2 linked regions of the Elephas maximus indicus genome follow. The protein of the gene in region 1 interacts with the protein of each later gene in a pairwise test. Links are inferred from orthologs where the notes say so. Each region holds a gene or a part of one and is shown on either strand. Other genes may lie near its edges.

What was found.
Region 2: the proteins of COPG1 (region 1) and COPZ2 interact in a two-hybrid assay, tested with the Homo sapiens proteins (2 studies listed by BioGRID). The link is inferred for Elephas maximus indicus from reciprocal best matches to the Homo sapiens genes COPG1 and COPZ2.

The regions. Positions count from the first base shown.
Region 1 is NC_064838.1:41,579,481-41,587,089, forward strand, and holds the start of COPG1 (coatomer subunit gamma-1), read left to right. Parts: upstream 1-4,583; 5' UTR 4,584-4,697; coding exon 4,698-4,734; intron 4,735-5,664; coding exon 5,665-5,717; intron 5,718-6,141; coding exon 6,142-6,222; intron 6,223-6,473; coding exon 6,474-6,545; intron 6,546-6,730; coding exon 6,731-6,810; intron 6,811-7,609. UniProt on the Homo sapiens protein: The coatomer is a cytosolic protein complex that binds to dilysine motifs and reversibly associates with Golgi non-clathrin-coated vesicles, which further mediate biosynthetic protein transport from the ER, via the Golgi up to the trans Golgi network.
Region 2 is NC_064837.1:45,456,879-45,463,978, reverse strand, and holds the start of COPZ2 (coatomer subunit zeta-2), read right to left. Parts: upstream 3,051-7,100; 5' UTR 3,028-3,050; coding exon 2,917-3,027; intron 2,177-2,916; coding exon 2,102-2,176; intron 325-2,101; coding exon 243-324; intron 1-242. UniProt on the Homo sapiens protein: The coatomer is a cytosolic protein complex that binds to dilysine motifs and reversibly associates with Golgi non-clathrin-coated vesicles, which further mediate biosynthetic protein transport from the ER, via the Golgi up to the trans Golgi network.

The DNA.
Region 1 (7,609 bases):
AGCTCTATTTTTAGTTTTTTGAGGAACTGCCATAGTGTTTTCCACAACAGCCGTACCATTTTGCATTCCCAGCAGCAACGCATAAGCGTTCGAATTTCCCCACATCCTCGCCAACATTTATTATTTTCTGATGGCTAATGACATTTTTTTTTTTTTTAATGACATAGATCATCTACTCATGCGCTTGGTGGCCATTTGAATTTCCTTTTTGGTGAAATGTCTATTCAAGTCCTTTGCCCATTCTATGATTGGGCTGTCTTTTGGTTGTTAAATTGTCGAAGCTTTATATATTTTTTGGCTATTAGATTCTTATTGGATATATAGTTTCTGAAGATATTCTCCCAGTCAGTAGCTGGTCTTTTCACTTTTTTGGTAAAGTCTTTTGATGAAAAGAAGTTTTTAATTTTTAGTGGTCCCCTTTATTTTGTCTTTTGCTGTCTGTGCTTTGTTATTTTATTATATTGCCCCTGCATTTTCTTCTAAGAATTTTGCAGTTCTGGTTTGCACATTTAGGTCCTTAACCCATTTTGAATTTGTTTTTGTATATTTTGTATATGGTGTGAGGCATAGATCCTGTTTCATTTTACTGCATGTGCTAATCCAATTTTCCAAACACCATTTATGGAAGAGATTCTTCTTTCCCCACTGAATGAACTTAAAACTGTTGTCAAAATCAGTTGAGCATAGACGTGTGGGTTTGTTTCTAGACTTTCAATTCTATTCCATTGGTCTGTGTGCCTATTTTTATACTAGTACCAGGCTGTTTTGATTAATGTCGCTGTATAATATGTTTTAAAATTGAGAAGTGTGAGTTCTCCTACTTTGTTCTTCTCTTTCAACATTGCTTTAGCTTTTTGGGGCTTCTTGACATTTTATATAAAGTTGAGAATTTGTTTTTCCATTTCCATAGAGAAAGCTGTTGGAATTTTTATTGTGATCAAGTCGAATCCATAGACTGCGTTGGGTAGTACTGACATCTTAACTAATGTTCCCATCCATGAACATGGAACATCTTTCCATTAATTTAAGTCTTCTTTAATCTCTTTCAGCAGCGTTTTATAGTTCTCATTGTATAAATTTTTCACATCCCTGGTTCCTAGGTATGTTATTCTCTTGGATGCTGTGGTAAATGGAATCATTTTCCTGACTTCCCCTTCAGATTTCTCATTGTTGATGCATAGAACCCCAACTGATTTTTGTTAGTCGACTTTATACTCTGAACTACCGTACGACCCAGCAATTCCACTTTGCTAAATCCTTTTTTTTTAATTGCTGTAAACGTATATATGACACATTTGCCAATTCAATATTTTTCACATGTACAATTCAGTGATATGAATTATATTAATCATGTTGTACAACTATAGCCAACGTGGCATTTCTTTTTGGGGTAATAAAAATGTTTTGGAATTAGATGGAGATGATGGTGGCACTTTTTTTTTTTTTTTACTATACTAAAAGCCACTGAGTTGTACACTTTAGAGGGTTGAATTTTATGATATATGAATTGTATTTAAAAAAAAAAACTCAAAACTATAGAATAATGTCATGGATTGAACTGTGTCCCCCAAAAATGTGTCAACTTGGGTAGGCCATGATTCCCAATATTGCATGATTGTCCACCATTTTGTCATCTGATGTGATTTTCCTACATGTTGTAAATCCTATCTCTATGACGTTAATGAAGCAGGATTAGAGGCAGTTATGTTAATAAGGCAGTACTCAATTTACAGGAAGAGGTTGTTTCTTAAATCAATCTCTTTTGAGATATAAAAGGGAGAAGTAAGCAGAGAGACAGGGGACCTCATACCACTAAGACAGCAGCACCAGAAGCAGTGCACATTCTTTGGACCCAGGATCCCTGCGCTGAGAATCTCCTTGACTAGGGGAAGATTGATGACAAGGACCTTCCCCCAGGACCAACAGAGAAAGAAAGACTTCCCCTTAGGCTGGCACCCTGAATTCAGACTTCTAGCCTCCTAAACTGTAAGAGAATAAATTTCTCTTTGTTAAAGCCATCCACTTGCAGTGTTTCTGTTATTGCAGCACTAGATAACTAAAAACAAATAATATCATAACCAGGATACTGACATTGATACAACTCACCAATCTTACTCAGATTTCCCCAGTATTACTTCTACTTTCAATTCTAATACTCTATGTTTCCGCAAAGGACTTAGCAATTACCTTGAACAACATATATATATTTTATTTAAAAATAATAATTATATCAAATATAAGCTCACACATAGAGCTGGAGCCACAACCCACAATTCTCATTATCAAAAGAGTATTGTAAAAATTGTCCTTTGTATAAAGTTTTATAGAATTAATATCATAACATAAAAGCCTATTTTGTCCCAACACAATTCATCTGTATTTCACCATCTTAACAATTCAATTCTCTAGGGTTCTTTCTGGTTTCTAACCATGAAGGATTTTTATTTCACCTTAATTATGAACACTTTTACACTCTATCCTTTTTTGATACCTTGATTATTATGAGAAGTTTGCATGTGGTCTCCCAAGTTGCAAGAAACATCCCTTTGAGAGGATGTACCACAATGTTCTTTGTTGTTGTTGTTGTTAGGTGCCATCAAGTCGGTTTCAACTCATAGTGACCCTATGCACAACAGAACGAAACACTGCCTGGTCCTGCGCCATCCTTACAATCATTGTTATGCTTGAGCTCATTGCTGCAGCCACTGTGTCAATCCACCTCGTTGAGGGTCTTCCTCTTTTCCACTGAACCTGTACTCTGCCAAGCATGATGTCCTTCTCCAGGGACTGATCCCTCCTGACAACATGTCCAAAGTATGTAAGACACAGTCTCGCCATCCTTGCTTCTAAGGAGCATTCTGGCCGCACTTCTTCCAAGACAGATTTGTTCTTTCCTTTGGCAGTCCATGGTATATTCAATATTCTTCGCTAACACCACAATTCAAAGGCGTTCAACTCTTCTTTGGTCTTCCTTATTCATTGCCCAGCTTTCACATGCATATGATGTGATTGAAAATACTATGGCTTGGGTCCAGTGCACCTTAGTCTCCAGGGTGACATCTTTGCTCTTCAACACTTTGAAGAGGTCCTTTGCAGCAGATTTACCCAATGTTCTTTACCATCCCCTTATTGGTGGGCATTTAGGGTGTTTCTAATTATCTTGCTACAGATTGCTGCAGTGGGAAACTTTGTTTTCTTCTTTTGGATGGCTTCCTCAGGATAATGATTGGAGCTACTACTGGTTAAAGGTTTTTAATGTCTTTCTGGGTCTTGACAATTTCACTCTGGCTCACGACTGGCTCGTCCTCTCCCCAGCTCCCTCTTTCCCACAGGCTTAACCTCTGAACTGCCTAAGCTAAAAGACTGGCCCCTTCCCGGACACCCCTACCCCAGCCGTGCTGTCACCTCCACCTTCACTTGCAGGTCTCTGCCCCTGCACCCTGCCGCTCCTTCCAACCCCCGACTCACCAGCAGGGCTCCTTCACCTCCCTGCCAGACTGCGGGCTTCCCTCTCCCCAGGCCAGGTGATGACCTGCGTCCCAGCGCTTAACCATCCAGACTCGGTTTTGCCGCAGCGAATGCAATTGGCATGTTGGGACGCACCGTCCTTACCTTAGCCACACAGTGTCCGGTGTAGGTCCCCTATCAGGAAGATAAACCCCCCCCAAAGATAAACCCTAGTGATGTCTTTTTCCCTTCCTCTCCCGCCCCCAGCGCCAGGCGGCGCATTTAGTAAGTATTAAATAAAAGAGCAACATTGAAATTCCACACTGACCTTTTAGTTCCTTGTAAGTTAATAAAATAAAAAACAATTTGCACCAGGAGCAGATAAGATGAGAGTGGGCACATATGAATTATAACAGCAATTAAATGCATTAACTCGTTCTACAAGAATTTATTGTTCACATACTATTGCCAACATCATCCTCCGCAGTGAATAAGACAAGGAAAACAATAAAAACATTGTGTGCTAGATGGTGATTCGAGTCAAGGAGAAAATCAAGCAGGAAAGGGAGACGGAAAGTAAGGAGTGGTTAGCGAAGCTTACCGAAAAGGTGACAGTTATAATATTAATCCATAAAACTCATTGCCGTTGAGTCGATTCCGACTCACTGCGAGTCTATACAGTAGAATTGCCCCGCTGACTTTTCAAGGCTGAAATCTTTGCGGAACCGGACTGTCCCATCTTTCTCCCACAGCGGCTCGCGGGTTCAAAACCCCAAGCTTTCGGTTAACAGCCCAGAGTTTAACCACTGCTCCACCAGGGCTCCTTAATAACAGGTTACTTTAATTGGGTGGGACGGCAGGCGAGCGTGCTACGGACCTCACAGCCGAAAGCCTGTTTTAAACTCACTTCACACGCAATGAGGCAGGGGCTGCTACAACTCCCAGTGTACACAGCAGGAGGGCGTAAGGCGCCGAGCTAGGTCGCCAGCCGTCCCGAGCGTGAGAGGCTTCAGCCCCCCAGGTCTGCGGCCCTCTGACCTCTTCGGCAAGTACAGGGTTAACGCAAAAAAAAGGGACAGCGGCGGCTCAGGCGTGCGCATGCGCAGAGTGCGGAATGCGCCTGCGCAGAGCCTCGAGCGACGTGGCCTGGTCGGAGCCCGGAAGTGGCCGAAGTGGAACCTCCGCCGGGCAGCTACTCCGAACCGCACCTGCCGAGCCCAGTGCTGCATCGCGCCCTCGCCGGCCCTGCCATGCTGAAGAAATTCGACAAGAAGGACGAGGAGTCGGGTGAGGGGACCCAGCAGGCCTGGGCCTGGGGGAGGCCGAACCCCCGCGCAAGCTTTCGGGACTCTGCGCTGACTGGGAGGCCGAGGCTCGGGGAGGGGCCGGGGCTTGTGCGAAGATCCGCAGCTGGTCAGTGGCAGGCCTCGGAAAGCCAGAGCATCCTCCGCGGCCCGCCACTCGTAAGCTCGGACTGTGACCCGCCAGGTGACCTTGGGCGAATCACACTCCTCCCTGGGCCTCAGTTTCCCCATCTGCCAGAGGAAAGGCTGGGCCGAATGCTCCTCTTTCTTCGCCTGGCCTTTCGGGATTCGCCGGGACCGCGCTGGTTCTGTCCAAGCTGGAGTGTAATCTGTGGAGCCTCTGTCTTGTGGCTGAGAACCCTGACTCATTCATTCATTCATTCAGCAGACACGTATTGAGTACTTTATGTCAGGCTTTGTGCTGTGTCCTGATACAGCAGTAGAACAAAGCAGACACTCGGTTCTTGAGCTGGAAATGTTACAATGGAATGAACAAGATGGTCACAAGCGTAGTGGAGGAGACAGACATCAACCAGAGAGTCACAAACGTGATTATTACAAATGTGACCTCTGTTATGAAGGAAACTTAGTCAGGAGGAAATCGTGGTCCCTGGTCCATAGTAGGGACTCAGTAAAGTAAGGGTTGTATGAATGAATACAAGCCATGCCACCATGAGAAACAGAAGGAGGAGCGTACCAGGGCTGCTGGGTGACTGTAAGTGGTTTGGGTTAGGTTGGAGGCCCCTTGCAGGAGAGTGGTAGGATCTATAGGCAGACTGTAGAGCCTTGATTGCCGTTCCTGAGGAGTTTGAACTTTGTTGGGTAGACAATAGGGACATCTTTCCCTTCTCTGTGTTTGATAGCTTTGAAATTCAGGATGGTACTCAGTGTTTTCTATTCTCTTTAACTGTAGGTGGAGGCTCCAACCCATTCCAACACCTTGAGAAGAGTGCAGTACTCCAGGAGGCAAGTGTCATTTGTTCCACTCTGTCTTCCATCATAAATGTTCATGGTGGATATGATGGAAAAAGCAACACATTCAGTCCTGATTAGAGAAGTGTAGGAGAGAAAACCTGTGCCTGGAAAGACAGAGAAACTTTTCTTCTTGGAGAGATGATGCCTACATTTTTGTTGTTAGTCATTTCACCTTCCATTTAATAAGCATTTCCTAAGTATTTGTTGGTTATAGGTCCACACATCACTAATATTTAAAAAAAGGTTGTTAATAGATGAGTTAAGAAAAATAAAACTTCTTATGGAAATAAGCCTGTTTAGGCAAGTGTATTTATTTACCCTGGGACTTCTCAGAACCTTGAATGTGCTTGAAGGTAGTCAGTGGAAAGGAAACAAACAGGGCTAGAAGGTAATAGCCTTTGTTGCTTTTTCTTAGGCCCGTGTATTTAACGAAACTCCCATCAACCCTCGGAAATGTGCCCACATCCTCACCAAGATTCTCTATCTCATAAACCAGGTAATAGGGTGAGGTTTGAGGGTGGGGAAACTGGTGTTGAGGAGAGTACACAAGTTATCATCACTTTAAGTGATTTGACAGCCTTCGTGTGGTTGCAGCCACTGGCTCAGTTCTGGGTCGCCTGAGCACCCAGTGTGTTAGCCTTTAATGGAATTTTTGCAGGGTCCGAGGATCTGGCCTGGGCTGATCCAACAGGAAGAGCCATCTGTCCCCTCTGTCCCAGGCTGAGGCTTCTTTCTTGATTACCACAGGGGGAGCATCTGGGGACCACCGAAGCAACCGAGGCCTTCTTTGCCATGACCAAGCTCTTTCAGTCCAATGATGTAAGTACTCCGACCCCAGCTTTCCTTAAGGGGCCAGTTTGTGACATAGTCGTAGGAGACCCCCAGAAAACTGGCCCCACCAGTCAGCATGGGATGCCTTTGTGCAGACTGGAGTTTTCTTTTCCTAACTCTGGCCCTCATACTAAGCCAGAAGTGATATACGGCTTTTTCCATCTCTTTTGCAGCCCACACTCCGTCGGATGTGCTACCTGACTATCAAGGAAATGTCTTGCATAGCAGAGGATGTCATCATTGTCACCAGCAGGCAAGTCTTTGGGGGCAGTGGATGGCTTCCCTGATGGATTCATTGACACAGAGGCCATTTTTTCTCTTGTGTGTACCATGCTTTTGATGCGTATTAGACTTTTGTTTGGCATAGCTGCCTGGTGCCCTTTCCTCTTCTGTCTCCTTCATCCTTCAGGTACTGCTGCCAACCCTCAGGGAGTACTGTGCCCTTTTAATTCTCCAGCCTTAACTTGGGTACAACCCCTTCCTTCCCTTAGTTCCTCATGGTCAACTGAACCAGCCTGGAACTTTCACAAAGACATTAACGGATGCTAAAAGAGAACACTAGGAAAATAGATGTAGAGAATGCAAGTGGTATACAAACAGGCTTGCTTACTAAGTACTGAATTCTGCATTAGGCTGAGTGATTCAGGGGACAGATGTGACTAAAGTGTACCTTGCCTGTAAAAACTGGGACGTAGTCCTCTTCTTCTTGCCCCAGCTTTTTTTTGGGGTGGGGGGGCAGGGGGTGGGGTATACATTCATTTATATGTTCATGTAGAAAATATTTATTGCATGCCTGCCAATCCCTGAGTGTATCTCTGGGGATATAGCAGTCTCTGCACCTCCAGAACTGGCAGAGAAACCCCCAGGCACTCAGGCATTGAGGTCGGGTGTCCTCGCTTAATCATGGGAAGTGTGACCAGGGGGCCCCCAACTTGAGTTTGAATCAGGAAAGCCTTCTCAGAAGAACTGTCCAAGCAGAGTCCTAAGGGATGAGTAAGAACTAGCAGGATGAAGTGGAGGTGAGGGGTGAAGGATGCTCCAGGCTGAGGAAA
Region 2 (7,100 bases), on another chromosome or scaffold:
CTGAGAGAGAGGTCTAGTAGTGGTGGTGGGGAGGAGTCCGAAGAGGGGCGGAATGCAAAGCAATACGGAATGAAGGTCCCTGGAGGAAGACAGTGGAGAACAGCTGGGAAGGAGAGGAGAGCCTCTGAAGAAAAGGGAATGGCCCGTGGGTATATAAAGGCCGGCAGGGACAGATGTGTCCAGATGGAGAAGATCACGGTGTGCAACTGAGAGTTCTGGTGGAGGAAAAGGCAGACACTTACTGTCGGTCCGGCTGGTCTTGTTGAAGACATTTTTCTCAAAGACCATCTGCTCCTTCGTGGAGGGGAATGTGTCGTCATAATACTATGAGAAGGGGAAGGAGAAGGGGTGATACCTGTCCCACAGAGCCTGGCTCCTCCCAGGCTGTGTGGCAGGAGATGGTGGGTGCTGGCCAAGGGAGACCCCGCCATGATGGCCTGCCTCCCCTTTATTGCCCTCCAGGCCTGCCTGCTCACTAAACCAAACCCATTGCCATCCAGTCAATTCCGACTTACAGAGACACTATATGACAGGGTAGAACTGCCCCATAGGGTTTCCGAGACTGTTATCTTTATGGAAGCAGACTGTCACATCTTTTCCTCGTGAAGCAGCTGGTGAGTTATTTCCCCATAAACACAAATTCTAAGCAAAGAATGTCATAAAATGTAGAGGAGATTTGAGGTCTGATTTTGGAGTTCCCTCTTGGTTTCCTAGAGGTTCTCGTACCCTCGGTGGATGCACCGTGTGTTCAGGATCAGGGTCGTCACCAGCCACTCTATTTCTACACTGACCTGAGCTTACGGGAAAGATGGCAGTGCCAGGAGTCCTTACAGCAGTAACCATAACAACGGCTACCAATTACAGAAAACTTACCACCCCATTAAATAGCTGAGGTAAAGTAGGGTATGAAGAAGCCAGGTAGCTTCCTTAACATCTCACAGCCTGAACGGGGCAGAGCTGGGATTCAACACCAAGGAGAGTCTGACTCCAGACAGGATTATGGTGAGTATCAAATAGCTAGAGACAAGTTCCCAGCACATATTGCAGAATTTAAGTCATTCTTTTTTCTCTTGAGTTTAGTGAGCCTCTCTCTGACTCAGTTTCTCAAGTTGTAAAATGGATGAGCCCTGCGAGGAGAGGCTTTGCCCCTGATCCACCTCAGACCATCTGCTGGGGTGAGGTGTGATCACCTCTCAATTTTGTGAGTGTGGATGTTACCTTTTAGTACCTGATCTGTTGGCAAATTAGCGATCTCCCTGGTGGCCCCTGCTGTGGGGGAACAAGCTCTTTAGGATGTTGTGAGAACAAAAAAAAAGAATTTGGAAGACATCTTCAGCCCCAAACAAAAAAAAGGACAAAAATCTATACTTCATTTCATAGCTAGTTTAGATGCTATAGCCCTGCTGATACAGCTCATTTTGTCAACTATGGAAATTTATTTTTGGATTTTCCTAGTTTGGTTAACTCAGGCCATGTTCACTATGATGGATATTAGATCATTGAATGGCGGTGTAGTGAAAACCACCCTGAGCTACAAGTTAAAAAACTTGAGTTCATGTCTCCTGATATTTACAGCTTGTGACCTCAGGCAACTCATTCAGCTTCCCTAGGCCTTATTTTTTTCACCTGTGAAATTAGAGCGTTGGATTATAAGGTCTCTAAAATCTAGTTCTAAATTCTTAGGCTCCTGCAACTGTGTTTATGAAGCTGTAGGAGAAAAGTAGAAGTGGCTTCTTCAGAATTTGGGGACCAGGACTTCTGGGTCCCAGGCTCTACTCCATTGACCCCTTAGGGGGTCCCTTCCCACACCCAGGGTCCAGCTGGCCAGTGAGAGGGATAACAAAAAGACATTTCAAGGAACAAGAGTAGAAAAAGAGGAGACCCTCTGTCCTGCTTCAGGGCCAACAGCCTGACAGGCAGAGGGATGGCCAGGATGACCTCTGGAGAGATCTAAGCTGAGTTGTTCCACATTACAGACCACAGTGAGTCTCTTCTGAGAGGGGAGAGTCAGCTGGGTGGGGACCTCTGCTCCTGGGGCTGCACCATTGTGTGGCTTCAGGCCCCTCTAGTGTCCACTATGTGGATTAGGGTGGGGGGTTACCTTGGCCAGCAGCCGGCGCCCATCATTATCCAGGATGAAAACAGCCTTGATGGTGTAGAGGGAAGGTTCCTGCAACTGACACAGGGGAGGAGAGCTCCTTTGGCCCTTGAAGCAACAGCTCTCAAGGTGGACGCCCTGCCATTGCCTCTCTGGGATCTGTTAGCTCCAGGGGTAAGCCTTCAGGCTTCAGCGACCCCTGCTCCAAAAGTCCACAGTGGGTCAGGCCCAGCCCCACTGCCACCCGGGCCAACTCCGTTGCCTTCTCTACTTCCAGGCAGATGTTCCGCTGCAGGCCCTGGGTGGGCACTGTCGAGTGCAGAAGGTCCCTCGGGCCCAAGTTCTGTCATGCACTGACTGCTCCAGAGCCCGAGTCAGAGTGTATCACAGAACCTGGGCCGGGGGGACAGCGGCGTGAGCCTCCTCCTTCCAGCTGACCCCCGGCCGAGGCTGGACCCATGCTCTCAGCGCGCCCCCAGCACCCTGGCCGGGGTGGGCCCCAGAAGCACGCACGGCAGCCTACGAACACACCACCCTTACCCCTCCGAGCGGAATCTCAATCCACCCCGCGTCTACCCTCCCTATCACTGTCCCAAATTGATCCAGAACTTCAGCCGACTCAGGAGTCTGCACCCGGAGGAACTTTTTGTCCCCTGCTCTGAGCCCGGGCCCTCTCCCTGGGGCTGGTCAGGGGTGGCACAAAGTTCCCAGCCGCCGCCGCGCGAGTTGTGGGTTGGCTATCCCTCACCCCCCGCACCCCTCTCCACCGCCAGGGGACCCCGGGCCCCCGGGCCCCCGCCCGTCCTCCCGCTCCGTACCCGAGGCCCCGCGGGCTCCCCGGCTCGAGTGGGCGTTGCCGGGACCCCTGCCTGGGCCGCCGCGGCCCCCTCCCCCGGGTGCGGACGTGGCCAGGCCTCGGGCCGCTGCATTCCGCTCGCCGCCTCGCGCTGACAGCGCCGCCCGCCCTGCGCCGCCCCCGGAGGCCACCGCCCACTTCCAGCCGGCAGCGCAGGCCTCGCGGCCCCCGTCTTCCCATCTCCAGTTCTTGTCTTTTCTTTCCCCCACGGCCCTTGCCCTCTTCTAGTCTTCCTACCGCCCCCGCCAGCCCTCTCCGCCACGCGCCCCACACCCCCAGCTCCTTCCTTCACTTCTCATTCCCCTCTCCCCTCCTCGCCTCCTTTCCAGTCCTTAAAGCCCAGAGCTCTCATATCCTCTTTGCCCCAGGACCGGCCCTTCTTCCCGTCTCCTGCCTCCTCTCCGCCGCCTGTGGGTGTGGTGTACGCGGGCGTCCGCAGGCTGTCCTGGGGTCAGCAGAAGACACAGGCAATCCCCAGTTTTGTCTCTTGACTCCTCTTAGGGTACCATCGGACAAATCTGTCAGGGCATTCTTTGGATATTAGGGGCAGGTACTTCAGTGAGAGCAGACAAGGACACCTCTGAGCAGTCCTCTGTGCAGAAGAGGCTTTCACAGCACTTGGGGAAGGGAGCCATGGCCCCTGGGACACTTCCTGAGACGCCTCCCAAGACATGGCCCAAAGTGAACCAAGACAGATGCCTAGTAGCATAAATACTCCACTAATGACATCAGGCTTTGCCACCGGTTTTGGTTTCTTTGGTGGACGAGATTCCACCCCAGGATACCCCAGCCAGTGGGAAATTCACACTTCCTCATGCATTTACCCTTAACATCAGGTGAGTATTTTACATTTAAACCAGGGCTACAAACTGGTTCCATTGGTTTGAACCCCTGCTGAGAATTTGCATTTCTAAGAATTTCCCTGGTGAGAATTTGCATTACCGCCCCAGATATACTGAATCAGAACCTAAAGTTTAACAAGATCTACAGGTGATTCTTACGTATAACATCCTGGGAAATTGTTAGAAATGCAAATTCTCAGCAAGGGTTTGAACTAGAGTACAGGTTAGAAGCCCTATTTAAACATTTTCACATACATTATCTAACATCACTTACACCTGTGAGATATTAACCCATCCCATTGCTGTCGAGTTGATTTTGACTCACAGCCCCCCCATAGGACAGAGTAGGACAGCCCCATAGTATTTCCAAGGAGCAGCTGGTGTTTTGGAACTACCCACCTTTGGGTTTAGCAGCCGTAGTTCTTACCCACTGTGCCACCAGAGCTCCTGTGAGGTATTAGGTAGGTATTGCTCCCACTTTAGAGATAAGGAAGGGGACATTTTCAAGATGTTTGGGTGCCCTCGAGTTGATTCCTACTCATAGTGACCCATGTGACAAACTGGAACTGCCCCATAGGGTTTTCTTGTCTGTAATCCTTACGGAAGCAGATCACCAGGTCTTTCTCCCCCAGAGCATCTGGGTAGGCTCCAACCATCAACCTTTTGGTTAGCAGCTGAGCCCTTACCCGTTTGTGCCACCAGGGCTCCTTTTCAAGATGGTATAACTAATAGTTGAGTGGGGATGGAACCCAGGCTTTGGACTCAGTTTCTTCTCTGTTCTTCTCTTCAGGGCCTCTTATGTTGTGTACCACACTCACTCATCAAAGATGACTGGGTAACAGGATTTTCCTCTTCTGAGTAGCAACAAGCCTTATTAATCTTCAAGTCTCTTAAATGTCATCACTCAAAGGTCCTCTCTGACCATATCTAACATGATAGGATAATAGGTCTCTCCTGTCACATTCTCCATCTCAGTATTCTACTTCTTTCATCATACTTTTCTCAATCTCTAAATGTCATTTTTACTAATTTGCTTATACAAATGTGTATAGTCCTTCTCCCCATTGGGCTTTGAGCCCCACAAGAATGGGGGACAATGCGTCTGTCTTGTTCCCTATCAGATCCCTGGTGCCTTGCACAGGGCCTGGCACATGACAAGGACTAAACTGGTATTTGCTGAGTAAATGATTAAATAAGTGACTTCACAACGAAGAAGATAATGTATAAATATTTTAAACAAACAATAAAAATGTACTTACTTTGGAAATAGTGGTAATGGCTGTACAACATTGTGAATGCAATTAATGGCATTGAATTGCATACTTAACGTTAAAAGGGAAAATTTTATGTTATATATATTTTACTACAATAAAAAAATTTAAACGTACTTGTCAATGAAACCATACTTCATATGTTGAACAAATATCTATTGAGTGCTTATCCTGTACCAGGTACTTTTCTAGTCACTGGGATACAACAGTAAACAAAATAAGCATCTTTGCTTATGTTGAAGTGTTTATTCAAGTGTGTGTGTGTGTGTCTGAACAAAGATCTGAAGGTAGAGTGGGAGAGAGCCATGTGGACATCTGAGAAAACATCCACTGAACCTCTTTCTATGATGATTTACAAGGCACATTCCAGTCCTCCTTACAGGCTATCCAAGTTATAACAGTGAACATTAATCAACACTATTTGTTACAATAAGGGAAAAAAAGTCCCAATATTTGGGCTTTTTATTTGTTTGGATTCTAGATCATCAGAAGTTACTGTCAATGGTCCTGTCAACTGGGTAAGTTATAAAAAAAATACTGCCTTGATTATTTTGACACCTTAATATTTCTGTGAGCTAGTCAGTTTTTAGTTTGTATTTACAAGGACAGCACCAGAAAGCCTCCAGGGGCATTTCCCAACCTCTGTTTGGCATCTGGTATCCACTACAGAAGAGGGTCAGCCTGCAGAAGAGGGGAAGGAGAAGCGGGAAGGTAGGGGAACTTAGGGAGCTGGTGTGGCTCCATGGGGAGAGGTGGGTGAGTCACAGAGTGGATGAGAGGAGGCCCAAGAAAGAAGCTTATGAACGACAACATCCTCCTCACCACTCCCTCCACGACTGTTGCTGCTGGTGTTATCATCACCAGAACTCTTCACATCCTAAGTGCCCTCAGCTTCAGCTTTGCAAAGAAGAGATTTTCCCAATGATGGCCCTTCCCCAGACTCTCCCCAAAGAAACCTCAGGGCCCCACTCTTTCCTCTTTCCTCGCACCCACCCCCCCGCCCCGCCGCCACCAGCGTGAGGTGCACCTTGAATGGTGTTCTATGTAGACACTAAGTGTGCACTGGGTCAGGACAGTATTTTCCACACAGTATGGCCCCAGAGGACTTGAGAAGTGTACAGCACAGCAGAAGAGAATCCACTGGACAGCCTAACGGGAATGAGGATGAGGTGGGTCCGAAAGGAATGCAGCCTTGTTTCCCTGCTCTCTGTGCTCCCTTCAGGGTGCGGTGGGGTGGGGAAGGGAGCTTGTGGAATAGCTGGACTCCCTTTTGGTCCTAAAAATACACACATCCCTGCCCTTTGGAGTCTCCAGGAAGTGAGCGATTTGAATGGGGTTCGGCTTCAGGCCTTGGTAGATCTTAGAGGTGAGACCAGCTGTTGCCTCTGACTCACCCTCCTGCAGCCGCATTTCTGTGCTGTCTGTCCTAGGATTTCAGCATCTGCTCTTGTGTGACAAGAAGAAACAGCTCCCTTGGGTAACAGCCTCTCTCCATCCTTCCTGCTATAATGTCAAGAGGGGGAGGTGTATATGTGGAATATGAGGCAGAAATGTGTGTGCTTATGGCGTCCTTCAGGGAGAGAATGAAAGCTCCCATGCCTGTCTGCAGCATGGGCTTCCAGCAGAACATCCTAAGGACGGCTCTTATTTCTTCAACACATTTGGCTTTCTCTGGGACGAGGTGGTGGGGTAGGTGAACAGAGAGTTGGGAGAGAAAGGGGCCTGACACAGCCCTACCCAAGTGCAAGTGGCTTTATACATATGATCTGATTTTAAACCTTTGTGAATACGTGTATTATTCACTCTCCTGAGCCCAGAATAGCCCAACTAGAAAGTGGCAGGGCCAGGTGTTTGAACCCAGCTCTGAGTTGATAGCCCCCACTCTTTTTACCTCACAATAGCACCTCCCTGAGTGTGACATGCCACACTGAGAAGTATACGAAGAAAATCACCCAACGTTGTTTGGGACACAGGCCACTAATGTGGTGAGACACACAGGAGAGCTGAACTCAGCTTCATGAACTGTTAAACCA